Canis lupus familiaris: one gene and its partners. The main gene of each other region encodes a partner of the protein of the gene in region 3 in a complex. Links are inferred from orthologs where the notes say so. Each region holds a gene or a part of one and is shown on either strand. Other genes may lie near its edges. The genes, in order: BNIP1, STX18, VAMP7 and BET1L.

Region 1 (7,723 bases), on a different chromosome or scaffold from region 3:
TGCAGAGATTATATACTAAGGATATGAGGCCAAGTCTCTGAGTACCACACAATCTCGTTGCAAATACACAAAGAAGTCATTCACGTAAAGAGCTAAAAACATCAAAAAGAAATCTTGTATACATTTCCTAGTATAAATGTTAAGGAAATGCAGATTAAAACTGGGATGGGGTTATTCATTCACTAATCATGTGTTTTTAGGTCCTTAATTGGTGTCAGGGATATTCTGGTGCTCAAGGAGGTGATGATGGGAGAGAGGGACCTAATATGTAAATGTATCAGTGGAGTAATTTCAATTAGTGAAGGAAATAAACACCGAGTCAGCACCTAGATACTTAAACAAAAAGAACATGGAAATACTTAAGGTGGTGGGTGTGGTTGGAGAGTTGAAGTCATGTGAGTTGAAGAAAGACCTTTTAGGGAATACATTAGCTTCAAAAAGCAAAGCAAAAAAAAAAAAAAAAACAAATCAAAAAGCAGAGAAGCAATCCAAATAAAATGCCCTTTGACACAGAACTGGCTAAAAAATAAATTATGGCTATAAAAAAAGAATGAGGAAACTCTCTAATACTGAAATGGGAGCAGCCCAGGTGGCTCAGCAGTTTAGCACCACCTTCAGCCCAGGGCCTGATCCTGGAGTCCCGGGATCAAGTCCCACATCGGGCTCCCTGCATGGAGCCTGCTTCTCTCTCTGCCTGTGTCTCTACCTTTCTCCCTGTGTCTCTCATGAATAAATAAATAAAATCTTAAAAAGAAATACTGATATGGAAGCATTTCCAATAGATATTAAGTTTTAAAAAGTGGTGTTTTGTGTGCTACCTTTTAGATGAGAAATTGGAAATAGGAAAATATATTTATTTTTTCTATTATCTGAGTACATATACCACAGAAAGATACGTAAGTAACAAGTAACAAAGGTGGTTACTTGTGTGGAGGAGGGAAACAGAATAAGACTGGTACATGAGACTTTTCACCGTGCGCCCATATTTACACACATAGATATGATAAATACGTAATATATAAAAGTAACAGCCTTTCAAAAAAATTAAATGATTAAATCAGTGCTAGAGATGGAGGCAAAAAGATCAGCTAGGTTCAGTGATATTGCTAAAATTCTAAAGTGAACTTTTATGACAAGAACTGCTTATTTTCACAATTGTCCTTGAAAATCTCTTAGAAAGGCAACACATGGGACCCAGACATACTACTTCTCAGGGAGTCCAAATGGCCAGTTTTTCTTCCAGCTTTGAAACAGACCATCTTCTGTTAAGCAACAAAAAGGGCTGTTGGTTGGCATCTGGTCTTTAAATCCTAGTATCATAAGCAGTTGAGATGGGGTGCCCCAGGACCCACCCAGTGATGGGCAGATCCATGCACCCATCTCATTCTCACTAGGGCACAGCAGCAGAAACAGGCTATACAAATGGGTACTTCTCACTCCAGTGGTTTTTGAGATAGCACCTATACCATAGTTGGATTCAGGAGTGTTTATATGTGCATATGAAGTGACTAGAGACCTCAGAAACAGGTAGGAAGAGACTAGGCAAAGCATAACATGAAAAAAAAAAAAACCCAGGAGACACTGGTGATACATTCAAAAGTTCCTCACTTTTATCTTGAGAGCATGTTAGTACAGTTACCCTCACTGTCAAAACATTTACTAAAGAACCTGGACAGCTAGCTCTCAAGCAGAGGTTACTCCCAGGATAGAGCCTCCTCATTGTCACCCATTCTCCCCATCTCAGTTCTACAGCTACTCACCTGTATTCTGTGCCGCAACTGCTGAAACTTCTCTTTCACTTTAGTATTTAGTTCAGTAAGTGCACTTAATGGTCCTGAACAATCTCGAATATCCTAGGAGACAGTGAAGAGGTGAAGGGGCCTTTCTTGAGGCAAATGACATGAAATGAAACCACCTGTACAGGGGGAGTTGGCTTGAACCACCACTAGGCTGGCCTACTGTCTGTAATTCATCCTGATCTTTGCTGTTTACCTCTGCAACACGAGCAAAAACATTATCGTTTACATTTCTCTCATAACCTCTTTAATTTTGAGCAGGTACTATAATAGCATAAAAAGAAACACAACTGTCCTATTAGTTCCTAAAGTTTAACAAAATGCCACCTAGTCAGTATAAAAGGCTTAAAGCAGATCATATGTCCAACAAGAATGGACATCCAAAAGTGATACAACTTGAAAATCAGGATGCTCAATTCCTGGCATCATATGGCAAGGTTAACTTCGATCATCTATTACAAATCACAGTGTTTACAGACCTGTTCAAGGGTAGATTTAGAATTTGTTTCTGCGCCGGGACACCTGCACCCCGATGTTTATAGCAGCAATGGCCACGATAGCCAAACTGTGGAAGGAGCCTCGGTGTCCAACGAAAGATGAATGGATAAACAAGATGTGGTTTATGTATACAATGGAATATTACTCAGCTATTAGAAATGACAAATACCCACCATTTGCTTCAACGTGGATGGAACTGGAGGGTATCATGCTGAGTGAAGTAAGCCAGTCGGAGAAGGACAAACATTATATGTTCTCATTCATTTGGGGAATATAAATAATAGTGAAAGGGAATATAAGGGAAGGGGGAAGAAATGTGTGGGAAATATCAGAAAGGGAGACAGAACGTAAAGACTGCTAACTCTGGGAAACGAACTAGGGGTGTTGGAAGGGGAGGAGGGCGGGGGGTGGGAGTGAATGGGTGACGGGCACTGGGGGTTATTCTGTATGTTAGTAAATTGAACACCAATAAAAAATAAAAAAATAAAAAAATAAAAAGAATTTGTTTCTGGACATTCAAAATTACTGGGGTCAGATTTTAGAGCAGGCTCTAGAGCCAAAATATGTAGATGCAAACTCCAGCTGCAGCAATTTATTGGCTGGATAACAAAAAGTCACTCTGGTTCTCTGTGCCTCACTTTTCTCATCACATTACCTACCACATAGACCAGGTACGTATGCAAAGTATGTTGCAAAGGAGCTGGAACACAGTAAGAGCACAGTATATCTAGGTATATCATGAGAACCCCAATATCAGAGAGTACAGAAGGGCTTAAGCAATTTAGATTATGTGAAAAGGCAATCTTTTTATATGAATCCTAAATTTATTTTCTTAAAGTCAGCCCAGAAGTTTTGCAATATGTATGAATAAGTGTAGTTGAAGAAGTTTAACAGTTTGCATCAAGTTTTCTCATCTGTTTTCTGGCTTACTCATTAAATCACACTTCCTTGTACCACGATAAAGCACTACTTTGGTTTATTCTGCATCTGGTCTCCATGGAGAGTCCTACTTTCCTTCGCTTTTTGCCACAGCTAGTTGCAAAATCTGAGTCTACATCTAATGCTTAGCAACATTTTTGGAAACGGAGGAAATAACTTGCCTAAAGCCAAAGTTTAGGGGATCCCTGGGTGGCTCAGCGATTTAGCGCCTGCCTTGGGCCCAGGGAGACCCAGGCTCGAGTCCCGCGTCGGGCTCCCTGCATGGAGCCTGCTTCTCCCTCTGCCTGTGTCTCTGCCTCTCTCTCTCTCTGTCATGAATAAATAAATAAAACCTTAAAAAAAATAAAACTACTAATAAAGAGTTTAAAACTCTTGGTTTCTTTTTGCTAAATTCAAGGAACCATTTCTACTTTCCTCTTGCCTAGGCCAAGCAGTTATTGCTCTGCTGCCTTCTACCCTTAAGTGGCTCAAGGCAAGGAGTGTCCGGTACCCCATCTGTTAAACCGAGTTTCAGAGACCCCCTAAGTCCCTCGTCTAGGCCGACTTTCCCTGTCCGGTCGCAGTCTTGCCACCACCTGCCTTCTGATTCAGGCCTTGGCATTTTAGCCTTTTTCCTCATTTACAAAGTCGCAGCTACTATCTAGGTGGCCGGGGGCCTCCCGCACGACGGGGCCCTTGGTGCCCTGGGGCACCTCCGCCGGGGCGGCGGCCAGGGGAGGGCGGGGCTCGCGGCCCTCGGGGCGCCACCGAGCGCGGCGGAGGGAGGCGTGAGAAGGCGGGGCCCGTCGGGGCGACAGGTCGTCCCAGTCGACAAGTGTGCGGGGGCGACCCATGTGGCCACAGACCGGAAGCCTGGCCAGGGACGAGGGGACGCGGGAGCGTTCAGAGGAGGGCAAGACAACAGCGCGCGGAGGGAGGATCAACGCCAACGGCCCAGGAGACGGGACCAGAGGGGGCCGCCAGGGGGTAGCGGGCCGTGGGGCGGGACCAGCGACCTCCCAGACTTGAGACCGCCGAGCTCACAGGAGGCCGGTGGAGCCTGGGTTCAGGGCTACAGGGCCCGGCAGCCGTCCCGGGAATTAGTACCTGGATAAGCGCCTTCACCTCCAGGTCGAACTTGACGATCTCTTGGTTACAGATACGGACGTGGACATCTTGGGGAGCCGCCATGTTGAGGACGCCGGCTACGGGCCGCGGCGGGGCCCAAATTAAACTCGTTTTTGCGTCACCTTCGTTCCGCGTCGGGGCTTTCGGCAGCGCCCTCTAGGGACCAACCTGAGGCGAGCGAGGGTCGAGGCGAGGAGGCCGGAGGACTCGCCTCTGGTGTGGTGGTGGAAGGGAGGTGGGCGGGGGGGGACTGGGCAACACTGCTGGGGGGCACTGGATGGGATGAGCACTGGGTGGTACGCTAGATGTTGGCAAATTGAACTCCAATAAAAATAAATTAAAAAAAAAGAAAAGAAAAGAAGAAGAAGAGAGGGAGTATCGAGAGCGTTTTAACATTGGCCTCTCCCCATCTTTTACCTAAAAGGCATTCTAATGACTACATGTTTTTTGCAGAAGAGAGAGAGAGAGAAAAAAAAAAAGGAAAGTATCAATTGGGATGTCTCTGGAAGGTGGAATTAACAATTTTTTATATCTCTTTAAATTTCCTTATATTTTTCATATGTTGTACAGTGAATATAATTGTGGAGCAAATGAAAAGATGGTAAATGTTATTACTGCTTTTCACGTGTGGAATTCAAGACAGGCCTCTTCCAGCACATGGTCCAAGGGTTCTAAAATCACAACTGATCAAGTCACTTCCCCACCTCCACCTCTTTTGTAGCTCCTGGCACGTGCCTTTTGTGTACAGTTGGATTTATTAAAGCCTACCTTGCTGGAGTAGTTTTGATGGAAATAATTAAGAGCAGACCCTCAACGAACAGTGGCTCCTGCCTTTATTATCAAATAGTCCAAGGCCATCAGCCACCTCACTCCATCGCTCTCCTGGATTCCTCAAGCTGTTTTTGGATCTGTAGCTTTGGAATGTGCTGTTCCCTTTTCTTAGAATGCTTTCCCCCTCTTGCTCCCACCCCATGTGCTTCTGTTCACATCAGCAAGCATAAATTGTTAAGACCTGAATGCCTAGCTGTGTTTTTCTCTTAATCCTTCAACCAGACTTGAAATAGGTAATACCCCAGTTTTACAGATCAGTAGATGGACCAAGAGTAGATCAAAGCGAAATAAATCAAAACTGAACGTCCCTGCCCCAAAGTTACATAACTTGAAAGTGGCAGAGCCTTCACTAAAAGCCACGTCTTCCCTCAAAAACCAAATATGGCCCCTTGGGTATAGTGTCGTACACAGGGGGCTATGTGCTTGCCTATCTGTGTTTCTCCACTGCTCCACACACCATCCGTTAAGGCGTTCATCACCCCACTGCACCTAATAGGCAATGTATTGCAGGCCTTAGAGTCAACCCTGCTTGAATCCTGCTGGAGGACCCACTTCACAGCTCTGCCCCTCAGAATTCTGAGGCTAACTGGTAGAGTCACAGAGGTGGAGGATTAAATGAGGTAGTACATGAAAAGCACCAAGCACAGTGTAGTCATGTGGCATGTGTTTAAGAACTCAATGTGCATTAGCTGCTATGACATTACTGACATTTTTTGGAGCACTTCCTATGTGCCAGGCACTTTGTACTAAGTTCTTAATGTGTGTCATCTAATTTAACTCTCATAACAACCCTATGAGGTAGAATTATCCATTTTATACATGAAGAAATAGGCACAGGATGATTTGCGCAGTGCAAAATGGAAGTGCTAGTCAAAGGATATGTGCATTTTATTTTTTTTTAAAGATTTTATTTATTAATGAGAGACACAGGCAGAGGGAGAAGCAGGCTCCATGCAGGGAGCCCGACGTGGGACTCGATCCCGGGACTCCAGGATCATGCCCTGGGCCTGAAGGCAGGCACCAAACCGCTGAGCCACCCAGGGATTCCCGGATATGTGCATTTTATTATTATTATTTTTTGATTTGTGCATTTAAAATTTAGAATTACCAAATTGCACTTCAGAGAGTTTATATCAATTTACACTCCCACAACAATGTGCTACAAATGCCTGCTTTCCCACGGCCTTGCCAACATGGTGTGTTAAATACTAGGATTTTTGCCAATTTTTAAAAAACTTTTATTTTTGTGTGAGAGAGTGCACATGAGCAGGGGGAGGAGCAGAGGGAGAAGCCAACTCCCCGCTGAGCAGGGAGCCCTATCCTGGGCACAATCCCAGGACCCTAAGATCATGACCTGAGCCAATGCTTAACTGACTGAGCCACTCAGGTGCCCCTTTGCCAATTTGACTGAGTAAAAAATACCATTCTTTAATTCACTTTTCTCTTACATGAATGAAATTGAGTGCTATTTGTATTTACTTTGCTCATTTCTCTGTCAGGTGGTTGTTCTTTTTCATACCAGTTTCCAGGAGCTCTTTATATTTCAGGAGGATTAGCCTTTAGAGATGAGCTTTTTATGTAGTCTATAGAATTTGACTTGGCTTATGATGGTTTTGGCCTTAAATAAGTTTTTGAATTTTTTGTTTCACATAGAATTTATCAGTCTTCAATTATGACTCCTGGATTTAGGATCCAAGTTAGAAAGGCCTCCTCACCCCCACCCCACAGGTTTTAAATGAATTGCTCCCATTTCTGTCATTTGTTCATTTACACATTTTGAGATATATATATATTGGCTTATGGTATGAGATACAGAGCCAACGTTCCTTTCTCCAGAGAGTTTCCCAGTTGTTCCAACACTGTTTTCTGAAGAATCCATCTTTTTCTCACTGGTTCCGGATGCTACATTTACCATAATTCTTATGTTCGAATCCATTTCTAGACCTTCTGTTCTATTGTCCTATTTACACACCAAAATGACAATTTTATAGTTTTTTTATGTGTTTTAATGTGTTTCAATTAAATGCCCAATCTTTTTCTCCTCTGCTATTATATTTTTCCCCTAGAAACCTTAAGTATTTTGTTTTTTAACCTTATTGGTATGTTTTGAGATAGCATTAAATTTTTAATTTTGAGGGCTTACAGCATCATGTTGCTCACTGCTCAAGTTCAAGAACTTGGATCTTTCTTTCCAGTTGTTCAAGTCTTCTGTGTCCTTCATGTTAAAGTTTTCTTTATCTAGACCCTGTACATTTTTAAGTTCATTCCTGGTGATGTTTTAAGATTAAAATCTTTTAAGGAAACTGACATTTTTCAGGTCACTGAAAAGTTTTGGATCCTCAGCAGCTCTCTATTTAGGACACATGACCTCGGGCCCCTTTCACATCTGGCTTCTTGCTGGAAATTCCTATGCAACTGACAGTCTCCATGAGGCAATTAAGAAAACATAGCTCCCTTTTTTTTCTCCATCCTCCAACATGCTCCTTCTAACAGAGACCCAATTTTAAGCCCTTAAACTAGAGGCCATCTTTGAAGGATAGATGTACAATGTG
Region 2 (6,578 bases), on a different chromosome or scaffold from region 3:
CAGAGCTGATAGTTTCAAACTTAAAAGGGAAGTTTTTATTTCCTTAAATAGCCTGTTGCATGCATGAGAAGGACCTTCTAGAAGAGTACTGTCAGCAGCCAGCAAGGCAGCCCACCGCCAGGGATTGGGGCGGCCCTGTAGAGCGCTTCCCCAGCACTTCTGCCCTTCTGGAAGATGGGCCAGCCCGCCCATTTTCTGGCCCAGTGTATCTGGGGTGGAGTGGAGGCATCTGTGTGTTTGGACAAGCATTAGGGCTGGGAACTGGTACCCTGTAGTGTGTCAGGCCCTGCCCTATGCTGGGAGGCCAGAGGAAAAAGCCCCACCCCAGGAGGGAAGATGCATAAACAGGGGCGAGAAATGTAGCAAACCCCAAGTACAGAGGAACTTTTTAAAGAGAGGAGATGATGGGAGGTGATTAAATCTGCATGATGTGTCTGGTCACTAGGAAGGTCCATAGGCCAGGTTTTGAGGTTACCAGCTGGGGGACTCCCTCAGCTCTCAGCCTCTGCAGAGGTAGGGTGGCAGGCCACAGGAAGGGGCCACCCCTCTGTGCTGATCTGCAGGCCATGGGGCAGGGCTGGTGTGGTGCGATGTGACATGACTGGCATCTTAGATACTGTGACTGAGGCATGGAGGACAGACTGGAGAAGACTGCAGGATTATGAGGGCAGAGCGTAGGTGCCAGGGAAGGAATGGGTGCAGCAAGGGTGCAGGGGAACTGGTGGACGGGACAGAGGGCACCCACATGGAGGGGCTGGAGGGACATGAACGGAGGACCATTAAGAGGCCCTGCCCAGAGAAAGTGACCCTCCCAGTGTTTCCAGTGAGTAGAAGTGAGCAAGGCACAAGGGGAGGACAGAGAAGCACAGGGAGAAGCTTGGGCAGGTGCAGAGCTGAGTGAGCACAGCTCTTTCACTCCCCACGAAGTGGGAGCCAGACAGGGCAGCAGGGAGACTGAGGGTCCCTGCATGTGACATGCTGAGCACGGCCTCGGTGACCTTTGTGACTTCCATAAACATTATCTCTTCCCTCTGTTTTACCAAGCAAGTGGTAGCCAGAGCTTCAGTCGAATGGCAAAGCCTCCAGAGAGCCAAAGCTTGCTTCCATTTGTTCCTCACACAGCACCTGGCACAGATGGTGCCTCAAATGTATCTGTGGCCATGGCTGCAGCTCTAACAAATGCGAAAGGAAGAGTGTGGTTGGTGCCTTTTCAGAGTCGAGTTTGACTTGGTTCCCACCCTTGGGCAGCTCATAGTCACCCAGAGAGTTTGGGACATGCACAGCTTATTACCAGGCCTAAAATGGCTCACAGCCTAAGAGATGTTCAGAAGGTGCTAGGCCAAGGTTAGAAAAATGAGAAACAGCATCAAGCTTGGGGACCCGGGATACATTGTGGAGAAGATATTTGCGCCAGGTCTGTGGGATGTGGCTGAGGAGCTAGAGGACCCTGCCCAGAGGCTGATTGTGCATTCAGGGAGTTGAGTGGGCATGTGAAGGCTGAGTGCTTGGTCCTTAAGGTGAGGGGGAGGAGATCTTCTGGCCCCATACCAAGGCGAAGCTTCAGACACACCATCCTTTTTTTGGCCAGAGTCAAATTGGCAGGAATGGTGGGAACAGCAGCTGTCTGCTCCACAGTCAACTTGGCTCTGATGAGCTCCCGGGTGTCAGGGTGGTATCCTTACCCACATCGAGTCCTGTAGCCTGAGCGCCAGGAATGGGGCTCCTCTGGCTTCTGGGCCTGTGTTTCTCTCACAGTGCATTGGCTAGAGCATGGCTCTGAAATCACACTGCCCTGCTCTCACCTTAGCTGCTGGACCTCACAGTTCCACTTAAAACAGATGGTCCCAGTGGCAGACAGCACAGCCCTGTGGGCGCCAGAGGAGAGCAGGGAGGGCGGGGGGATGACAGGTAACCTTGCACCTCCTCGGCTCACCTTCGCAGGCATCATGTTGGCTTGCAGACAGGAAGAAATCCAGCCATGGGGATGTCATGCTGACGCTGGAAGGAGGGACTCTAGTGATTCTCAGAGGGCAGATCAAAGATTTCTGTGCAGACGCCTTGCCTAGACACTTGCCTTTGGCTGTGTTGGTTTGAGTATGACATCACCCTTCATGTGTTTGTTTCCTCACAGTTTGAACAAGAAAACCAGCGCCTAATTGGTGAAATGAACAGCCTGTTTGATGAAGTAAGGTAGGTATGTGGTTTCTCTAGGCTTGATGGCCTATGTTATAGCTTTTCCAGAAACTGAGAACTTTATTAATTTACTTTGGTGCCCCAATATACCCTTGTGGCCCTGGCCACATGCATGCCTCCCTGGAGCCATTTCGGGGTCAAGGGAGCTGCCACCCCTACTGACTCCCCTTAATTTGTGGGTAGTCCCCATCTATGTGCTGCTGCCAGGCTCCCAGTGACTACAGATTGTACCAGGTACTGAGCATCACCAGGTGGGGGCTGTTTGCACTTCATCACTTCAAGGTGAGATAGGGGGGCCTTTCGAAGAATGACTAGCCAGGGGCAGCCTCCTGCACTTGGCTCTGCCAGAGTCAGCCTGCTCCCTCAGCAAAAGGTTGGCAGCACCAAAGGCTAGTGGCTATGCTCACCCATTTGAACCATCACCAGCTGGTCCTATTGGGGAAGGACTTGGGGCCTGTTTCCTGAGAATGTCTGGGGCATCTGCACAGAAGGCCCAGGCTTTTGCAGGGCATTGAAACTGCTGCATTATAGGCTCATCCCAAAAGCAAGCACATCCTGGCACTGTACCTACACAGTCCCAAGGACTCCGAGTGCAGATACTTCCCTCTGACAGCACCTGTACTCTTCTGGGGGCCTCCTAGTCCTTGCCCCCACTGCCTCACTCTTCCCTCCTCAGGCCTAGAAGCCCTGGGGGGAATGGCAGCCTCCTGCCCTTACACTGCGGACCTCCTCGGCTGGGAGCTCAGCCCCTGCAGCCTCCATCTCTAGGGCCCTACTCTAGCCCCCAGACCACCACTGGGGGCCCCTGGCTGCCCCTGAAACAGGGAGAAGCTCAGACACTTGGTTGCTGAACCCAGATAGATATATTTTGCAGACGGATCTAGCCAGAGTTTTTCCTTTCCACAGGAAGTTGGTTAGAATGGCAATTATGCTTGCCCTCAGCCTACTGAGCAGTAACAAAGTTGAGTTGTCAGCACATTCTGGTGTTTTCTTTGGAATCCCCACCTCGTTACTATGGTTATGAGGCTGGTATAGGCCTTCTAGAAGACTCTCTTTTGTCACCAAGGGCACGGACTCCCAAGGCAGGGGCACTCAGGTCAGCTTACAGGGGAGAGCAGGCTTCTACACCGCCGTACACCCCCATAATCTGAGAGACTTTGAAGGAGAGCTGGAAAGTAAAATGCCTGTTTCCTCCTTCCCTGAGCTGGACGTGGTGCCTCCTCCCTCTCTCTTGGATGACATGATGTCCCTCTCTCCTCCAGAGGCTTTCTCACTTAGTTGATCCCTTTAGAAATGTTAACGTTCTTGTTAGGACTAAGTACTAATGGTTGTATGTAACCTTTTTTTTTTTTTTAATGAAGGCAAATAGAAGGGAGAGTGGTTGAAATTTCCAGGCTCCAAGAGATATTCACAGAGAAGGTTTTACAGCAGGTAAGAAAGAAAAAAAATCACTGTTGAAAGTTTTAGCTTAAAAGAATATACTGTGAAGTCCAGATACTTCTGAGGCTGCCTGTCTCTGCAGCCGTGCATGCAGAGCTTTGTGCTTTGGGCCAGTGCACACTCACACGGCTCCTCAGGTGAGGGCCTCTTGCCTCTGTGTTGGCGAGCACTCTGCAGCCAGACGGCGTGGCCACCCCAGGTGTGCAGTGGAGCGCTCAGAGGGGGGAGTCAGGTGGATCTCTGTTCTGGAGGCCCTCAGGTCACCAGGGTAGCCTCTGAGCTATGGTTTGCCTGTCTATAAAACGGAGTGGCCCTTGCAGGGCTGTTTTAAGGCCCAGAGATAACCCACAGGGAGCACCCAACACAATGCCTGCAGGATAGTAGCCCAGACTCGGCTGGCCCTCTGAAAGCCAGGTCCGTGCCACCTTGGGTGTCATGTCCACACAGGAAACAGGATTGTTCTCACAAGTGGATTTTCACGTTACTCATACTTGCCTCCACATCTAAAATTCTTCCAGTCAGCTACTGGCAAAACTTTTAGAGACCGATAAATTTGTCCTTTTGTTTTTAGGATCCACAGACCATGGAAGGGTTTCAAAGACAAAATCATTTTGCTCCATCGTGTTAAACTGGGGTAGTTGACTTAAGATACCCCCCCCTCACAAAACCTGTCCTAAGGCTCACAGCCAGGGTTGAATCGTACATCAGGTACATGAAACCTCACAGTGTGGAAGTTCAGGTTCAGAAGAATTGTCCCTCTTTAATTGCGCACTGAAGGAACTAGGCAGGTATGTGCTGAGCCTTCACATCCCCCTCCTGACACCTCAAACAGCCACGTCAGCTGTCTGTTAGAGCAAGCAGACTTGTTTCTGGAGGCAGCACGGCACGGGAGGGGAGCTCATGGCTCTGATCCAGACTTCCGAAGTGTGTCCTGTGACCTGGGGTGCCCTGAGCCCTGCCGCCCTTCACAGAATGGGGCGGGTGTCCCCTGCCTTGCTGTCATTGCTGGTGGAAGAGGCACTGGACACGCTCCTGGCTCATGGGAGGCTCTCAGTACATGGGAGGTCATGTTTATACATTTTAGCCCTTTACTTTCTTAGGTTACACATAAAATGGTGAAACACAAAGCACTTTTCTGAAGCTAGGGTATGTTTTAAAGCACATGCATTTAAAAGCTTACCTCTCGAACCTAATACAGGAGAGACCAGAGGGAAGGGCCCTGGCCTGTGGCGGCTACTATGTAACGGGCAGCTCTTGTGCTCGTCCCTTCCTGTCCAGCAAGTGGCACAGAAGGTGACACCTGGGGTGGCAGCGGCACAGGTACTGGGTTCCAGTCCTAGTCCTGCCACATGGTTGCTGTGTGACTTCGGGGTGAAGTCTCTGAACCCTGTTTCCCTTTTGCAAAATGAGGATGCGGCCTACCCCTCAGGGCACCGTAAGGATTCATGGGCTCATGTTTATAAAGTCCTGGCCCTTTGTAAGGGGCAGCTGCTAGCTTCTGAGGTCTGTGTGCTTGGGGAAAGGAGATAGTGGTTGGGTCCACCTGTTACTCTTCTTCCACAGGAGGCCGAGATCGACAGCATTCACCAGTTAGTTGTAGGGGCAACTGAGAATATCAAGGAAGGTAATGAAGACATCAGAGAGGTGAGTACTCTCGGGTCCCCCAGGCCGTGGCTATGTGGCAATGAGTCCAGGCAGTAGGGGTGGTCTTGCTGGCAGGGCTGCAGGAGAGCCATGCTGGGGCCCAATCCCCAGGGCTCACCTCCTGACTGTGCTGGACAGTCCTGTTCTGTCCCCAACAAACCCTGGGCACCCGCTGTTACCAAGAGATGTGACTCACCCTCCTCCAAAGGAGCCATCTGAGACACGTGAGGTTACTCTTGGCAAAGGCTGCACCAGCTCCCTAAATCCGTGGATGGGCGCCACTGGAGAAGCTTGTTGAACACCCCCTGCCCCAACCCTAAGGGCCAGGGCCTTGGTTTACTGGGGCCACCACAGCGGACTCTTGAGTGTCCTCGGTCTTCTGAGTGCAGTCCCCGGGTTTGGGTTGATGGGAGGCCACTACTGCCATGTACTGTGGGGAGCCAGCAGCTGGGCCAGCTATGGTACTCGAGGTCGGCGTGTGTGGTTTTAACCCCAGGATGCACATGGGCAGTTGCTGGGTGTTTCCTGGGAGAAATATGCAGGAAGTATGTCTAAGGGCCAGCCAGTAAGGGAAATAAATACCTGTTTGTTTTCTGATGGATTCTAAACCCATGGTTTTGTCTAATTCCGGTAGCACTGACTCTAGCAATACCCTGTTAAAGCCCAGTGCAGGGCGAGTGCCCGCAGACAGGTGGAGCATTTGAGGGCTTTTGAAACCAAAATCCTGTGTGATGCAAATCCCTGTGCTACTGCCCTCCTTCTCCCCCCTCCCCCAGGCCATTAAAAACAACGCTGGCTTCCGAGTGTGGGTCCTCTTCTTCCTGGTGATGTGCTCCTTCTCCTTGCTCTTCCTGGACTGGTATGACAGCTAGTCCACTCTGGCTGTTCCCGGCAGGCGGCGCGCTGTTGTGGGCTCCGGCATCAGAGCAGGGCTGTGAGCCGATTTATCACAGAGCCATTCGGGGGGAGGGGGCTGTGACAGATGTATACTCTCACAAAAGGGACACCCAGACCTGTGGTTTTAAGCCCATGTAGTAGCTGAGAAAGAAAATAATGAACACAAAATGACCTGTGTAGCAATCCTGATGCAAGGTGGGTGAGTTGGTGGGGGGTGGGGATTGTTACTGGCTGCACCTAAATTGGAGACCAATGTGGAAGGGCTGACCAGAGGCCAGGCTCTGGGAGGCTCCAGCCCTGCCCTTCTGGTGGCTTCGGGAGAAGCACTGGTTAATAACTTCTCACAACAGATGATCATTTCTTTGTTTCCTGTGACTTCTCATCTGCCTGGGCCATGTGACAGA
Region 3 (7,661 bases):
AGCATTCCTTGACTTTCAGCTGCCATCACTTCAAACTGTGCCGCCCTTGTCATATGGCATTCTTCATATGTGTCCATGTCTTCACATTGGAGGCTCTAGGTCTTTTCTCTTATTAGGTCACCTACTCCACTATGACCTCATTTTAACTTCCATCTTAATTACACCTGCAAAGACCCTTATTTCCAGATAAAGTCACATTCACAGGTAGCAGTGGTCAAGATTCAAAATATCTTTTTTGAGGGCATAAAACATCTTACAAATTCATTGTTCCTCCCAAAGCATTCTTACTCTTCCCTCTCTCTATATTCACATCATGCCAACTTGACTCCCTCTTCTCTCCAAAACCTTTATTCCATCTCTTTTTTTACTCTCATTAAAGGCCTGTCCTTAAAGGGATGGGTCGAAGGGCAACCTCCAAGAGTTTGGAGTTAGAATCTTGCCTAGAAGATTCCAAGAAAAGGACATTTTTATTCCCGTTGCTGGGATTCCAAAGGAAAAAAGATATGCTACAGGGGAATCCAACTGAGAATTCTAGATGTATTTTTTTTTACAGAGAAATTATTAAATTGTGGTGAAGGTCTTTAAGTCCATGAAAGGTTAAGATGTTACCAACTGGCATAATAACTGAAATGCCTGAATAGCATTATTATAAAGAAAAAGGCATCAACTTACAAAAATATCTTTTTTTTCCTATATTATTTATTTATGAGACACAAAGAGAGAGGCAGAGACATAGGCAGATGGAGACAATGTGGGACTCGATCCCCGGACCCAGGGATCACACCCTGAACTGAAGGCAGATGCTCAACCACTGAGCCACCCAGGCGTTCCCTCAAAAAAATCTTAAAAAGGAATGTTTGAAATATGCCCATTTGTAAGTAATGGATTGCCTGTATTAAAATCAAAGAACAAATTGCTCAGAGCACCTATGGCATAGTTGCTTAAGTGTCCAACTTGGTTTCGACTCCAGTCTTGAGATCGAGCCCTGTGTCGGGTTCTAAGCTCAGTGCAGAGTCTGTTTAAAACTCTCCCTCTGCCTTTCCTCACCCCACCCCCACCACATTCTCTCTGTCTCAAATAAATTTAAAAAATCTTTTAAAAAATTCCTCCCCAATCCCCATGTCCCTCACTAGAAAAAAAATACATCATAATAAAAAAATAAAAAAACAAACTGCAAATAAAATAGCACAGCAACAATGCAAACACTACTCTTCAGTGGAGGCATCTTTAAGTAGACAGTGAGATGGTTTTAGGGAACTGAGTAAAGAAAAAGGCCAAGTCAGTTTTTCTCACATTCGAGTCTCTGTGTTGAGGACTCTTTTTTTTTTTTGAATTCTGTATTTTTATTTTAATAACATTAAAAAATGTATGTAAATATCCTGGATCTACACATGTATCTTATAAATGAGTGATAGCACACAATCCCATGCTGCAATTTGCATCATGAAGACCTAAGAGCCAAGAAATTCTCTAAGATGACAGTGCTGGGAAGCCTGGGTGGCTCAGAGGTTTAGGGTCGCCTTCAGCCCAGGGCGTGATCCTGAAGACCCGGGATCGAGTCTCACGTCAGGCTCCCTGCATGCGATTATTATTAATATAAAAATACAAAATTTATCTTTCGCCATAACAATTTACAATCGAAAGATATCTGCATAATAAAACCTTTTATTTGAAGAATTAAGACTTGACATTCTGAAAATGACATAGTGAGAAAGTAACAATTAAAAAAAAAAAAGAAAGTAACAATTATCTCAGGCTAAGGAAAAAATAATACTTGAAGTTCTGACTGTACCAAGTGGAAACCAAATGATACTATAATGTGCTGTATGAACACAGATTGTGCAACTGTTCAAACAAAAAAAAGGTGGAAAAATGGACTTCTCATGTAGCACATGGTATAATAGTGAATGCAAAATTCAAATGAATGCATTCCATATCATTATTTATATTATTGCAAAGGAATGTATCATGTTAATGCTTGTAACAGCTCATTAGCAGAATGTTTCATAGGAAATACACATGGAAATTAGATTGTTTACAGTCTTATACTGTTAAATTGGCCCATTAAATTAAATAGGAAAGGGGCATGGAAAGTGCTCAGGAAAGAGATGGGAACACATTTTATGGGAGAGCTATGGAACAAGAGAAGGCACAGAAGTGACAACCAAGTAGGGAAGGTAAAGTAGCCTGATGAGATGGAAAGCCCCACATTCGGTGAATGAGAAGGTCACCTTCTCTAAAGGTGAATGACCTTATATAAAGAAGGCCTTGGGGATCCCTGGGTGGCGCAGTGGTTTGGTGCCTGCCTTTGGCCCAGGGCGCAATCCTGGAGACCCGGGATCGAATCCCACGTCGGGCTCCCGGTGCATGGAGCCTGCTTCTCCCTCTGCCTGTGTCTCTGCCTCTCTCTCTCTCTCTCTCTGTGACTATCATAAATAAATAAAAAAAAAAATTTAAAAAAAAAGAATAAATTTTCAAAAAAAAAAAAAAAGAAGGCCTTGTGTAAATGAAATAATTAATGGATTGGATCAAATTATTTTTCTATTTCAGTTCAACACATATGTTTTGAGGGTTTACAATATGACAGCCAATGTGGTAGACAGGGGAGATATGAAGGCCAGTAAGAAAGGACCTCCATACTCAAGAGAGCCATAGTACAATGGGAAAGACAGACAGAAATAAATGCAATAAAGTGTAACCAGTGAATAATCTAAAACTGTATAATATTATTCAGATTTTTTAAACATCTGTGGTTATCTCACCATGGGTGAAGAAAAAATGCAGGTGTCAGGCTATGTACTAGGAATTTCCTCAGCATACCGTTAGAATCATGTCTCTGGAAGAGAGATCAAAGTCTATTTTATCCTATCTTTCCAGAACCCAGCACAGTGCCTGGCATACAATTTTCCCTCAAATATTTGTTAAATAAATGAATGAATCATGAGCATGTTTTGGTTTAAATAACAGATAACTTCACATTCTGTAGGACCTGGTAAGAAGGATATTTTCATTACTAAACTATCTCCTTAAGTAAAATAAAGCAGTTGTGCTGCTTTCATCTAATCTAATCCCCAACTCTTCTGTCTGGGTCTTAGGAGGAAATAAACCAACGACAAATAAACCACCAATTCTGATGTAATAACCTTGAAGATAGAAGAATGAAGAAAAAAATATCAATATGGCAGAGGAAAAGAAATGTCTACGAAAAGTCCGAAGTCTGGTTACAGAGTTGTATTCTTGGTGGTGTCACAAATATTCTTTTAGGGTCATGTTCTGAGACCCAACCCAAGCGCTCGGACTTTCTCAGGATAGGAGCCTACCCTATGTCAAGTCAACCACCTGTTCTACTTTGCATTAACCACCACCACATCCCATCATCTGGATTATTCTTGTTTGCCCACACATACGCAAACACGTAAGCTACTCAGAGTAATGATCTCCTAGATCTTCTTTCTAGCTGTATCCCTTGAACTCAGAAGAGTGTCTGGCACACATTAACCTTTGAATAAATATCTATTAAACATATGAGTGAGTCTGCTCTCAGCCACAGCTATTTAAAGGGAAAACACGTCTCTGGGATCAAGGGTGGGACAATGGAGGTACAGGGAGTTGGGCGCAATGAATAAGACAGAAAAGGACCTGACAACTGGTCATCTGTGGGGGTTATGGGAGGGAGATGTAAAAAATTCATCAAAGAGTCTAGTACATGGTCAGAGCTTGTTAAATGCTGGCCAATTTTAACCGCACCATACAGAGCTGATGCTGCGGAAACAGGTCTGGGTAGAGATACGGAGTCCCTATGTGAAGTGAGGAAGAAGAGGAATGAAACAATGGGCGGTGAGAAGGGACGCGGAGGAGTACAAACCCACGAAGGAGCTCCGAAGTAGGGAAGCGGAGTGACGTCATGAAAACAAGGGCGTAGAGACGAGTTTTTAGAAGACTTAGATCACAAGATTGAATCTCAGGATTCAAAGGCTGAGGAAAGGTGTTGGAAAACGCGAACTGAGGGAAAGTTAACGTTCCCCCACCCGTGACAACAACTTAAGTGACGCATTCTGACACTCTTTCATTGGAGGCCTTTTCAGTGGCAGGAAACGCAGTTCATCAAAACTGAACCTGCCCGACAATTCGAACCGTCGACACCAGAGAAGCCCAAGTCACCCTTGCACTGCCTCCTCGCTCCACCCCGCACCGGCTCGTCCACACCTCCGCCCCCCTCCGCGTCGTCTCCCCGCCTTCTGCCCAGCGCGCCCCGTTCCGTTTACCTGGCCGGCGGCCCCTGAGAGCGCGTGGGCTCAGAGCCGAGGGGCGCGAGTCGCAGCCGGACGGCCGACTGCCCGCTACCAGAGGAGGCTGGGACCGGACGCCACCGGCTTCCGCGTAAAGCGCCCCGCCCGCGCGCGGCCTCCTGGGAATGTGAGCGCTCCTCCAATAGAAGTGGGCCGTGGGGCGGGGCCTGCTGCATTCCCAGCCCCGGCACTTCCCAGTGGCCGCACTGCATTCTGGGAGTGGTAGTTCCAACTGGCGTAGCGCCCGGTCCTCCGCAGAGTCAGTAACTCGTGCTAAACGACGTCAAGCGAGGTTGCTGCCGCCAAGGGAAGGATGCAGGGCCGCGAAGAGTGCACCGGCACCGACTCGGGGGGACAGATGAAGAGCGAAGCCTGCCCCGCTGCCTACGTGCTGGGTCTTGGCAGGTAACGTCTCCTGTTATTTCACAAAATAGAGCTGGTGTCCCAGGAACCTTCTGCTTTCTCTACGGAATTCCCTGACCGCCTGAAGACCCCGACAACCCTTCCTCCCATTCATTCGTTGCCAGTAATAGAAATAACTCTCCTCCGCCTCCGCCGCCGCCTCCGCTCCTCGGATCTGAGCTCCCCCGCGCGTCCGCTTTGCTTCCCTTTGCCCTCCCGACTCCGAGCCTCGCTGCACCGCTGAATCCTGTCCCGTGACTCCTCCAATGGTCCCTGCTTACTTGCTCCTGACGACTAGCTTTGAAAGGTTGGCGGACTTGCTCTCGCCCACTGCATTCCGGAGTCACCTTGCTCCATTTCGTGCCTTCGAACCTGTCACCACACAGACGGAACCTGTGGACTTTTGCTCACCTCTCTCTTCCAGTCAGAATTCTCGATCCTGTTGCTAAAACACTGACACTTCTCGACAATGACCGTCCTTCAAACCTGCAAGATTTCACATGATTATTTCCGCCCTCTTTAAATCCTCTTAGCGTGGAACAAAATACCACAAACTGGATGGCTTAAGCCACACAAATGAGTTCCTCACCGTTCTGGAGGCTGGGAAGCTTCGGACAGGAATGCCGGCGAGCCTGAGTTCTAGCGGGAACCCGCCGGCCCCCTTGCAGGCTGCTACCTTCTGGCCGCATCTCCCCGGGATGGAGAGACCTCAGCTCTTGCACAGCTCTCGGCGGGGCAGCAGTGTCACTCCGGAGGGCTCCACCCTCCTGGCCTACTTACCTCGGAAAGGCACCACCTCCAAATACACTCACATTGAGCAGCAGGACTCCCCCGTCTAAGTTGGGGGGAGGGGACGCAAACATCCACTTAATGGGACCTTCTCTTCTTCCGTCTCTGGCCGGCGCGCATTCCTGTTCACCTCCCGCTTCTATGGCAGCTCCTCATTTTCCTTTGAAATGTTCATGATTCATACTGTTCTGCCCTATGCCCTTTGGTGCTATTCACAGGTGTCTTGGGTGATGTCACCATTCCCACTGATTTGGGTGTCATCTGTATGCTGCGGGTTCCACGTGCAGGAAGCCCAGTAAAGACTCCTGAAGCCCAGACTGAAACATCTAATGACAGCTGGGCACCCCTTCTAAGCACTTAAAACTTAATGTAGCCTTCAGATGACCTAAAACATTTCTTCCCTCCCCTCTCCCGTAGCCTGTTCTTTCTCCTCCTCTAATCACTGCTCAGTGAACACCACAACCGTGCAGTCGCTTCCTAACACCAAAAGTCGCCTCTCATTTTGAGTGATTCCCCCCTCCGAGTTCACATTGAAACCGTCAGCAAGCCATATTAACTCTATCTCCTAAAAACGTCACTTGCCAAGCTTCTATTTTCTCATATTTAGATTGAGGATAATAACAGTACCTGTCTTCAACGGTTGTTGCAATGATTAATGAACAATAGTGCCAGACAGAGAGGAAGCACTTGAGGACGCTAAGAATTTATCAGACAAGCATTGTGTTTGTCACTGTCTCTCTTTCATTGGGTCTTACATAATGGTAACTAGCATTTACTTTTTTATTTAGTTTATATTCAGGGAGAAAGAAAAGGAAAATTAAGAAATGCTGAGATGGATGCCTGCATGGCTCACTGGTTGAGCGTCGGCCTTCAGCTCAGGGCGTGATCCTGGAGACCCTGGGATGGAGTCTTGCATCGGGATCCTCGCAGGGAGCCTGCTTCTCCCTCTGCTGTGTCTCTGCCTCTCTCTGTGTGTGTGTCTCTCATGAATAAATGAAATCTTTTTAAAAATGGTGAGATACTTTGTACAAATTACCTCTACTCCATTCCTCTTTGTTTCTCCAAGCATGACAAGGTCGTGAGGCACTATACACATGGTTCTAATCCAGTATCTGCAGGACATACCATACCTTAGTTATTGTTATCGGCTCTGAGGGGGCTACAGACAACTCGAAGTACATTAAGAGAATCATGACTAAAATGATCAGGGCACTACAAATCACGAATAATGTCTCTGTACCTGTACTGTACCTGTAGTATCTCCTTCACCATCTCCCCACCCACCCCTTCTTGTCACTTGAGATTGTTCTTTCTAAGACAAAATCTGATCACTTTGAAATCCTGCTTAAACCCTTCCTTGGCTCCCCATTATATAGAGGATAAAGTCTAAGATCTTAATAGAAAATCCATGGCCTTCCATAGTCTGGCCTATCTCTACCTCTCCTGCTTTATATTCTGCCTCTCTCAATGACACACTCTCTGCTCAAGCCTGCTTCTCTATGGTGGCATTCACTCATCCGTCCATCCATCCATCCCTTCCACTATTATGTATTAAGTGCCTACTATGAGCCTGGCCTATCATACATCCTGGAGTGAACATGACAGACATTGTCCTTGCCTATATGGAGCTCGCACTTCAGTACCATGCTCTTTCACGTCTCTGCATCGTTGCACATGCTACCTCTCCTGTATAAATCTTACTTATTAGTCAATATCTATCCCAAATATCATGTCTTCATTTTACATAAAAATATATGTTTCTTTTTTCAGATTTATCCACCTTCCGCAAGGGTTTATTATTCATATTAGTATTTATTTTATTCATTACCTCTTCTTTGTGAGAAGGAATAGTATCTTAGAAAGAATTTTGGAATCAGTCCTGAGTTAAGAGCTCTGTGAACTCTAAATGTTCCCTCAATTTAGAGATTTTAGGGCTCTATCAAAGCCTCTCTTCTTACTCCATGTTCTCTCCCAAAGTAATATGTCTGTGCTCCAAATTTTTTTTTTAGCACAAGCCTTTCTATTGGGAAATCAGGGAACGTCTCTCTCGGGAGGTAACATTTAAGTTGAAGCCTGAATGTCAAGAAGGAGTTGGCCACAAGAAGATAAGAGAGAACAGAAGAAATAAAGCCAGAGTGATTGTAAGGTAGTCACAGTGGTAGGAGAGGGATCACACCAGGT
Region 4 (7,951 bases), on a different chromosome or scaffold from region 3:
TGGGTTCCCCAAGGGATGCCAAGAGACAAGTGTCACTCGTCCCGAGGGCTGCCTGCACACAGCAATGCTAGTGCTCTGACGGCACAGGCAAGGATTCTAGAGACAGCCACAAACAGCTCTAAGACACAAACTCCGCTGTTGACTCTGAAAACCCGTCAAGATAACCAGCACAGGTAAAACCTTCAAGTGTGTGCGTGTGAGAGGGGCCACGTGTTTCTGAGGGAGGTAGAATCTGGTTTTCTGCCAAACTGGACCACGAAGCAGCTGGAGAAATGGCCTGAATCACACTCTGCTTACCAGTGTGACCGTAAAAAAAGCAGTGATCAAGGCTGCTTGGGAAAGTCAGAGCCACTGAGGACCCCACAGGTCAGGTCCCTCTGCCCACCTGGTGCAGACGCTTCTCCAGGAAGCTGAGAAGGACGTGAATCACATCCATGTTCGCTCCCAGGAACTCCAGGGAGCCTTTGTGTGGCTCCAGGGTAAGGAGGACGTCCAGACACTTGAGGGGCAAGTTCCCCAGGAGATTCACTGTGTGGCTGAGGACAGATCAGGAGGAGGGCTTGATAGGTCCGACCCCCCAGCATAAGTACAAGCCTTGCTGCCCCCTAAAGAGGCCGCATGTGACTTGAACTAGCATCTAGGGATTTGATGACCAGAACCAGGGGCCGGTACTGAGGGTGAGACTGACCCTAGAGATGTTCCCACATAGTCGGTGGGGTGAGTTCCTAAGAAAGGGGGCACGCTCCGTCTGGGTTGAAGCCCCGCGGACAATCTCTGGAGCGCCAGAACCTGCCCAGGCACAAGTCGCCGAAACAGAACTCAGCAGTTACTCGCTAACTACCACGTGGTTGGTTACTACTAACTCCACTGCAGACACAGATACCGTTCTTGGATTCGTTTCTCTTGTCCTAGCCCCTTACCATAGACACACACTGATGGAAATCCCACCCCTGTAGGTGAAGCCTCTCCAGGGGGAAGCCTAGCCGACAGCCAGGGTGAGAACTACTGTCTAGACCCCTGAGCACACTTCCCTTCCATTGAACGGGCCCCACCCTCACCCGTGGAACTCCTCTGTGCGGTCTCCAGCAGCAGCGACCATCACACAGTGCCGCAGAATGGTCCCCAGGTGCCGATAAAGGGCCGCATCTTCCTGACCAAAAAGAAAGGGGTTCCTGTGAGAGGAGGCCCCACTCTGGGATCACATGCACGGACTATGCATTTTCTCTACTGTGTGCCCAACCCCTCGTCCTCCCCCACGTAGCCTTGAAAGCATTTCCTTAACCAAGACCATTACCAGGTCTTCCTGGGATAAAAATCACAACCTACTCTAGTGTCCTGCTCGTGACCTCTCCATGTACCAAACAGCCCTCCTACCAGGCTGCAAGTGCCAGGTATGCCCTCTGCCTTTCTCAGACAGTCTCTGAAGGCCCCTGTACATGATGTACAGCTCCCTGCCTCCTCCCAATAGGCTGAGAGCTCTTCCCGTCCTCTCCCCGTCTGATACCTGGAACCTACGAGTTCGCTATAGGCAAACAGAGCCAGCAAGTGTCCACACCGTTAAGCCCTACCTGTGGGCTCAAGTCAGTCCTCACCTCGTCTACCTCCCTCTTGATGGAGTCGAAGGTGATATTGAAGAGCACTTTGAGGATCTCCATGGCCCGCTCGGTCTCCTGGGGAGGAAGAAGCTCCGGGGGGTTCTCGTCAGGGCTCATTCCCAGGGTCAGCTCCAGCGCATCAGTCAGCAGGTGCACTCCCCGCAATTCCTGAAACAGCTGCTGCCTAACGTCAGTGCGAAGTGCCGTGAGCAAGAAGAGGAGGCGCAGATCAAAGAACTGGATGTCGTGTGGAAAGCTACTCTTGCGATACAGCCCCACGCGCTCTGCGAGCCTCACCACCAGGCGGGCCTCTGCTGCCAGCACCTGTGCCACCGGGCTGCTCAGCACGAGGTTGCACAGGCACTTCAGGGACTCGAGGACAACGTCCATGTCCAGAGGCTCCGGGCCAGACCCCTCCAAGGCGATGCCGGCATAGCAGGCAAGGGCCTGCAGGCTCTGGCGGCTGGTGAAAGGGTCCAGGCAGCTTCGGTCCCTGGACAGGATGCGGATGCTCTGCAGCCAGGTGACGCGGCGGGGGGGTGGCAAGCCCTGCTCCAGGACCGAGACCAGCAGCTCCGCCAGCCTCTGTGGGCGGGAAGAAGAGCGGCTCCAGCAGGCCCCCTACCCCGGGGCCACGCGCCCCCGCCCCCTGCCCTCGGTCCGCACCCACCTTCCGGTCCTCCTGCTGGGCGTCGTCAAACGTGAAGCTCTGGGAGTTCTGCAGAGACGGGGAGGCTCAGCGGGCTCGGCCGCCGCGGGCGCCCGCACCCCCCCCGCCTCTCCCCGTCCCCCAAGGTGCGCGCAGACCCCGGCCCCTCCGCCGCGCGCCGCCCGCCGCCCGCCGCCCGCAGCCCGCAGGCCCGGGTCCGCACACGCGAGCCCCGCCCGGCCCACCTCTTCCGTGCAAGCACGTTCACGGCTCGCGCTCACCTCCCGGTTGTACGTGCGCAGAGCCTCCATGATCACGTCCTCCTCGCCCGCTTCCACGGCATCCGCAACCACCCGGGGATCCATGGCGCCTCCGGGATCCCGCGCCGAGCCGGCGGGAAGGGGAGCTGCTTCCCGGCTCCGGGCGGAGTTCCGCCGCTCCGCCCCGACTGGGCGCGCGGGGCAGGCCGGGACTGGGAGCGCGCGGGGCGGGGCGGGGCGGGGCGGGGCCAGGGCTGCGCGCGGGGCAGGCCGGGACTGGGAGCGCGCGGGGCGGGGCCAGGGCTGCGCGCGCGGCATGCCGGGACTGGGAGCGCGCGCCGCGGGGCGGGGCCAGGGCTGTAGGTTCATTAAGGGGGCGAGACCTGGATCAGCTGGCTGGGACTTGAGTGTTTTGCCGGGGAGTGAGCGCGAGTTTCAAAGGTCCTACTAGGTGATTTTTCGACCTCGGAGCTGAGCGGCCTCCGAAGCTAACGGGGACCCACTCACCTTCCCACGCACGCCCCCCTAGATGCCTAGCACCAGTGCAAGTCCGGGGGAAAAGCGAAGTGGGAAGGACTTTGCGGCCCCGGGACCCGCCGACCGCTGGTTCCCGGCCCTCTGGGAGCGTGAGCTCGCACGTGAGGGCAAGGAGCCACGGGCAGCGGTCTCAGCGCTGTGGCGAATAAAGTGGGCTGCAAAGGGATGTGCGGAAGTAGCATTTCTGCTGAGGCCGGACGATAAGAAGGGATCCGGGGGAAGGTCGTTCGGTGGCCGCGGCGGGGACGCAAACATGTCCCTGAGCTCCAGGGGAGGGCGGGGAGGGTCAGGATCACCGGCAGCCACGTCCCAGGTGTGTGGCCTGGACTGAGCTCCCTCTCCCGTGTGTGTGGTCGCAGCGGTGCCCGCCGTGCAGCCAGCCTTTGTGGGCCGCCTCCGTTCCCGCGGCGCCGGGACCAAGGCAAGAGGCACCGGCCGCTACGGCCTCTGCTGCCCCCACACTCCCGGCCCCCGTCTGGCTTCGCTTCCCTTCGGAGTGCGTCACCCTTGCGTCTTCCAGGCCCTGGCCTCCACCGCGTCCCCTCGGCAACGCCTGGGGCGGGGACCCGCGGCGACCCCAGCAGCCAGGCCCGCGGGGGAAAGCGGGGACGCCCGGAGCGGGACCCGGCCCCGCCCTCCGCGCCATTGGCCGCTGGCGGCGTCTGTCACGCGTCCTCGGCACTTAAGGCCCGCCCCCCTAGTCCGGAAGTCGGCCGGACGTCGGCCGGAAGTCGGCGGGCAGAGCGGAAGCGGCGGGGTCCCGGTCCTCCCCGGTTGCGCCACGTCCGCTGAGGCGGTGGCTGGGCCGCTGGCGGGGCGGGGCCGGGGACGGGGCCGGGGGCGGGCGCCATGGCGGACTGGGCGCGGGGTGAGCGGCGGGTTGGGGTCGGGGGGCCGCGGCTGCTCCGCCCGGGGCCTCCGGCGGGCGGGCCCCTCGCGTGCCCCAGAGCCCCTGGTCTCCCCGGGAGGGGCGGCAGGAGCCGAGGGCGGGCGGCGGGACGCTGACAGCCCGCCTCGGCCTTCGTGCGCACCCGGGCCCGCCATCGGGGCGTCCGGCCCGCCGCACGTCCGCGCCCCGAGCCCGGGCGGTGGCCGACGGTCGGGGTCGCCCCGGGCCGCGCGGGGTGCGGGGGCCTCGGGCCTGCGCTGCTCAGCCTTGGCTGCCGGCCGACCTGCGGGGCCGCCGCGCCCGCGCCAGTGCTGCTCCGAGCGGCCCCGCCGGGTGACTGCCTCCCAGCGCGGGCCCACCCCCGGGCGCCGTCCTCCGCGGGCTGTCCGCGCTCGCGCCCCGGCCCCGGCCGCGGCCCCTGGCTTGTCCGCAGGACGGAGGGAGCCCCGGGGCAGCGCGGGGGCCGAGCAGGGGCCGCGGCCCCCCTCACCGGGGCCTCCGCGCCTGCGGTCCTAGGCTCAGACTGTCCCTTCTCGCAGCCCAGAGCCCCGCGGCCGTGGAGGAGATTCTAGACCGGGAGAACAAGCGGATGGCCGACAGCTTGGCCTCCAAGGTCACCAGGCTTAAGTCGGTCAGTGCGGTCCTCCCTGCGAGCGGGGACAGGAGGGCAGAGGCTGGGGAGGGTCCCGGGCTTCCTCGGGGCGCTGGTGTCTGAGGCCCGGGGAGGCCCGGCCTGATCCCGCCGGCGGGTGTTGGCGGGTCCGCTGGCCTCGCGGGCGGGACCCACCGAGTCTTTCTGGCCTGACCTTGCCCCCCGCCCCGCGTTCTGAGCAGCTGGCCCTGGACATCGACAGGGACGCAGAAGACCAGAACCGGTACCTGGACAGCATGGTAAGGGGCTCCGTCGGCGCGGGGCGCGGGCCGCTCGGGCAGGCCCTGGTGGCGCTGCGGCACCTGCGTGGCAGTCGTGGAGGCGCCGCCCTGTGTGACCTTGCTGGGATTCCTCCCTCAGGACTCGGATTTCACTAGCATGACAGGCCTGCTCACGGGGAGCGTGAAGCGCTTTTCCACCATGGCGAGGTCCGGGCGAGACAACCGGAAGCTTCTGTGTGGCATGGCCCTGGGCCTGATCGTGGTCTTCTTCATCCTCTCCTACCTTCTGTCAAGGGCAAGGACGTGAGCCACCAGAAGCCGACTTCTGTGGGTGCAGGGGCAACCAGGGTCTTCCCCCGCCTGGTGGCCTAGGCTCCTGAGGACCTACCTGCAAAATACTCCTTTGAAAGGGGGATCCCGGCCTGGGAGTTTTCTTGCTGTGTGCCTGGGAGTTGACGGCTGCCTGCGCCCAAGTGAGCTCCTGTTGGCTGGTCCCATGCAGTGCAGCTCCTTCCCTTGGGGACACCAAGCCCCAGCCCCTGTGCTACTCGGGGTGTGGAGGCCCTGGCAGAGCTGGGTGTGAATCCTCGACGTGGCCACCTGTGGCCAGCAGCCCTTCCTTGTCCCCTGGGGCTTCGACGTCTTGAGGCTTTGGGTAAGGTCACGTCCGATACGTGAGCAGCCTGGAGCTGACACAGGAAGGGGGTTCGGTTATGAACTTTGAGCACCATCTGCTCTGTTCAGAGGAGCAGCTACTCGGTAGGGCTGCTGAACATGGGCAGGTCTGCGCCAGGGGTTCCGCCCCGAGGTCACGTCTGCCCCCCAGACCCTCGGAGAAGGGCAGGGGGTTGTGGATGAAGAAGTGGACTTCAACCTTGGCCAGAGGCACTGGGCCCTGATCCTTCTGGATCCACAGTCTTGTATTCAGGAGCAGGAACTCAGGATCTACCTAACACCAAAGACGTATTTCTGGGAGACCAGAGATGGGAGCTCTAGAAGGGTTTCTGTCTGTGTGTTTGGGGTGGGGGTGCAGCACCTCTGTGGTCAAGACGAGAGGGCTCCCTAACAAGTTTTATAAGACCCAGGGGTCACCGGGCAGCTTCCCCTCCACCATGTGAGGCCTTTCAGCAGTGAGTATTCCCTGAATAAGGGGACTCTTCATCATTGCCTCATCCCTGGCCTCTCTTTGAGCCCTCACTGCCCGCTTGGCCAGCCCCATGTTCACACAAACCACAAAGTGCAGGCCCAGCTGGGCGTCCGCACCCTCGTATGTGCATGAAGACACATAAGAAATGATTTGCTAGCTGTGTCCTCCCCGGTTCCTTCCCCTATATTCCGATCCTCTGCCAGCCCAGTCGCTCCCCCTTCCTCCCAGAGGACAACTTGGTTTGCTGTCCGCCCATTCCCCCCCTCATCCCGTGGGTGATCACACGTGCGCCGACCACACATCAGCTCCGTTCTCTGGCCCTGGGCGCCTCCCCTTCAGCACTGCCGCTGCTCTGTGTTCTCCTTGCCTCCCTCCCCTCTCTTGCCCTTGTCCCTGCAGCAAGTTTGGCACGTGGTCATCATAGCTTCCTTATCTCCTGCACAGCAGCTATTGGGCTGCTCGGCCTCATCTTCTGAGTGCCCTTAGCCTCCAGATGCTAGTTGCTCATCCAGGGAGGTCAGCTGGCCTCCCTGCCTGTGGAGCTTTGCTGTGTCCCTGACTCGACGTTCCCTCTCGGGCCCTGTGGTCTTTCCTCCGCAGTCGCCACGTACACACCGTGGATCTGAGTTAGCTCTCTGGTGGTCTCCTGCTACGTCTTGTCTTGCCACCGGGACACGTCCGCTGGTCACCAAGGTTAATGGAGCCTGCAGTGTCCATCTGGCCACACGGCAGGTGCACCCGTGGCCTGCGTCCCCCCCCCCTCCCTGGGCCTGTGCTGCTGACCTCTCCCTGAGAACATGCCTCAGCTGTGAGAGACACACCAGACTACGGGGTCGATGTGGGCTGGTTTAGGTTTTGTGTTTCGGGTAGTCTTGACAAGTGCTTTCTGCTGTCCCCTCGAGACAGCCCACGGCTGCACACTGTCCTGCCTCCCCACCTCCACTCCACAGCTCTGTGTGGCCCTTCCAGCTATTTGGGGTCTGAGTTTCAGTTCATTTCTGATTCACCGTCTTGTTTCTCATTCTCGCATTGGGATGGATCCCAGGAAGGGGGCGTGGCAGCTCTGCTGCTGACCTGCCGGAGCTTTTGTCCTGCCTGAGACCACACCGTCCAGGTTTACACACGGTTTACTGACGGTCCCTGAGACCCCTAAAACGACAAGGACCGGGGGCTCAGCCCGTGCCAAGTGAGGACACACTGCCAGGCTCTATCTCATCATTCAAGGACAAGGCACTTAATACACATTTGGAATAAACAGCTTCGTGATGAAGTAAACAGTCTTGCTGTTCTCATTTTCTTGGGCGCTTGACCGTTTCATCTGGCGCTGATCCCGGACGGCAGGCTGGCCGTGGATACTGGTGGTCTGCGCCCCCGCTTCCCTCTGTCTCTGGTTCTGCTGTGTCCCTTCCTCGTGTGCCCCCCGCCCCCAACACACACAGGTGGGCGGTCACAGGCTTGCTACTGTGTCAGCCAGGTTTCTGTAATCACCCCCCAGGGGTAAATGAGTAAATGTGAGGTGCTCAGAATATAGCCTCACATGGTCCCAGGTCAGTGGCTGTACTGAGCTCCATATGGCTATGGCTGATGGGCTCATGGGGACAACAGTGGGGCCTCCCCTCCCCCCCTGCAGTCTGCACGGCACCCTCTCTCTGGAAATGAGGTGAGATCCACACTCCACTCCTCAAAGGCCTGGCCTCGGACTCCCTGCAGCCTCTAGGAACACCAGTCCTTGGCCTCACTTGGGAGGCCCTTTCCTGGCCCACATCCTCGAGCTCCCCGTGTTGCCTTTGTTGTGTGACAGATCACTTTAGATGTAGTCACAATTAAAGTAATTTACATTTTAGGATTAATGTGGTTGGAATTTGAGCACAGTGTGGGGACCGCGTCTGTCTAGAACTTTAGGCCTCGGCCGTCAGACCTGAGCCTTCGGCTGCTGTCACCTAAACCCATGCTCTTGAGCCTGCTGGTTGACGCCTGCGTGGCCTTGCTGAGTGTCATGCT

The links.
Region 1: VAMP7 (region 3) and BNIP1 share a complex: the UniProt entries of both Homo sapiens proteins name them as parts of the SNARE complex. The link is inferred for Canis lupus familiaris from reciprocal best matches to the Homo sapiens genes VAMP7 and BNIP1.
Region 2: VAMP7 (region 3) and STX18 share a complex: the UniProt entries of both Homo sapiens proteins name them as parts of the SNARE complex. The link is inferred for Canis lupus familiaris from reciprocal best matches to the Homo sapiens genes VAMP7 and STX18.
Region 4: VAMP7 (region 3) and BET1L share a complex: the UniProt entries of both Homo sapiens proteins name them as parts of the SNARE complex. The link is inferred for Canis lupus familiaris from reciprocal best matches to the Homo sapiens genes VAMP7 and BET1L.

What each region holds. Positions count from the first base shown.
Region 1 is NC_049225.1:40,185,540-40,193,262, forward strand, and holds the start of BNIP1 (vesicle transport protein SEC20), read right to left. Parts: upstream 4,473-7,723; 5' UTR 4,404-4,472; coding exon 4,320-4,403; intron 1,854-4,319; coding exon 1,761-1,853; intron 1-1,760. UniProt on the Homo sapiens protein: As part of a SNARE complex may be involved in endoplasmic reticulum membranes fusion and be required for the maintenance of endoplasmic reticulum organization. Also plays a role in apoptosis.
Region 2 is NC_049224.1:70,409,019-70,415,596, reverse strand, and holds part of STX18 (syntaxin-18), read left to right. Parts: intron 1-2,131; coding exon 2,132-2,190; intron 2,191-3,554; coding exon 3,555-3,624; intron 3,625-4,204; exon of another isoform or gene 4,205-4,421; intron 4,422-5,196; coding exon 5,197-5,277; intron 5,278-6,053; coding exon 6,054-6,149; 3' UTR 6,150-6,577; coding exon of another isoform or gene 6,578-6,578. UniProt on the Homo sapiens protein: Syntaxin that may be involved in targeting and fusion of Golgi-derived retrograde transport vesicles with the ER.
Region 3 is NC_049260.1:124,837,831-124,845,491, reverse strand, and holds the start of VAMP7 (vesicle-associated membrane protein 7), read right to left. Parts: upstream 4,517-7,661; 5' UTR 4,502-4,516; coding exon 4,266-4,501; intron 2,837-4,265; exon of another isoform or gene 2,766-2,836; coding exon of another isoform or gene 2,763-2,765; intron 1-2,762. UniProt on the Homo sapiens protein: Involved in the targeting and/or fusion of transport vesicles to their target membrane during transport of proteins from the early endosome to the lysosome. Required for heterotypic fusion of late endosomes with lysosomes and homotypic lysosomal fusion.
Region 4 is NC_049239.1:25,709,982-25,717,932, reverse strand, and holds BET1L (BET1-like protein), read left to right. Parts: upstream 1-3,802; 5' UTR 3,803-3,890; coding exon 3,891-3,909; intron 3,910-4,469; coding exon 4,470-4,561; intron 4,562-4,764; coding exon 4,765-4,821; intron 4,822-4,942; coding exon 4,943-5,110; 3' UTR 5,111-7,225; downstream 7,226-7,951. Other genes in the region: RIC8A (synembryn-A), read right to left, coding at 386-536, 1,059-1,150, 1,593-2,180, 2,266-2,313, 2,526-2,609. UniProt on the Homo sapiens protein: Vesicle SNARE required for targeting and fusion of retrograde transport vesicles with the Golgi complex. Required for the integrity of the Golgi complex.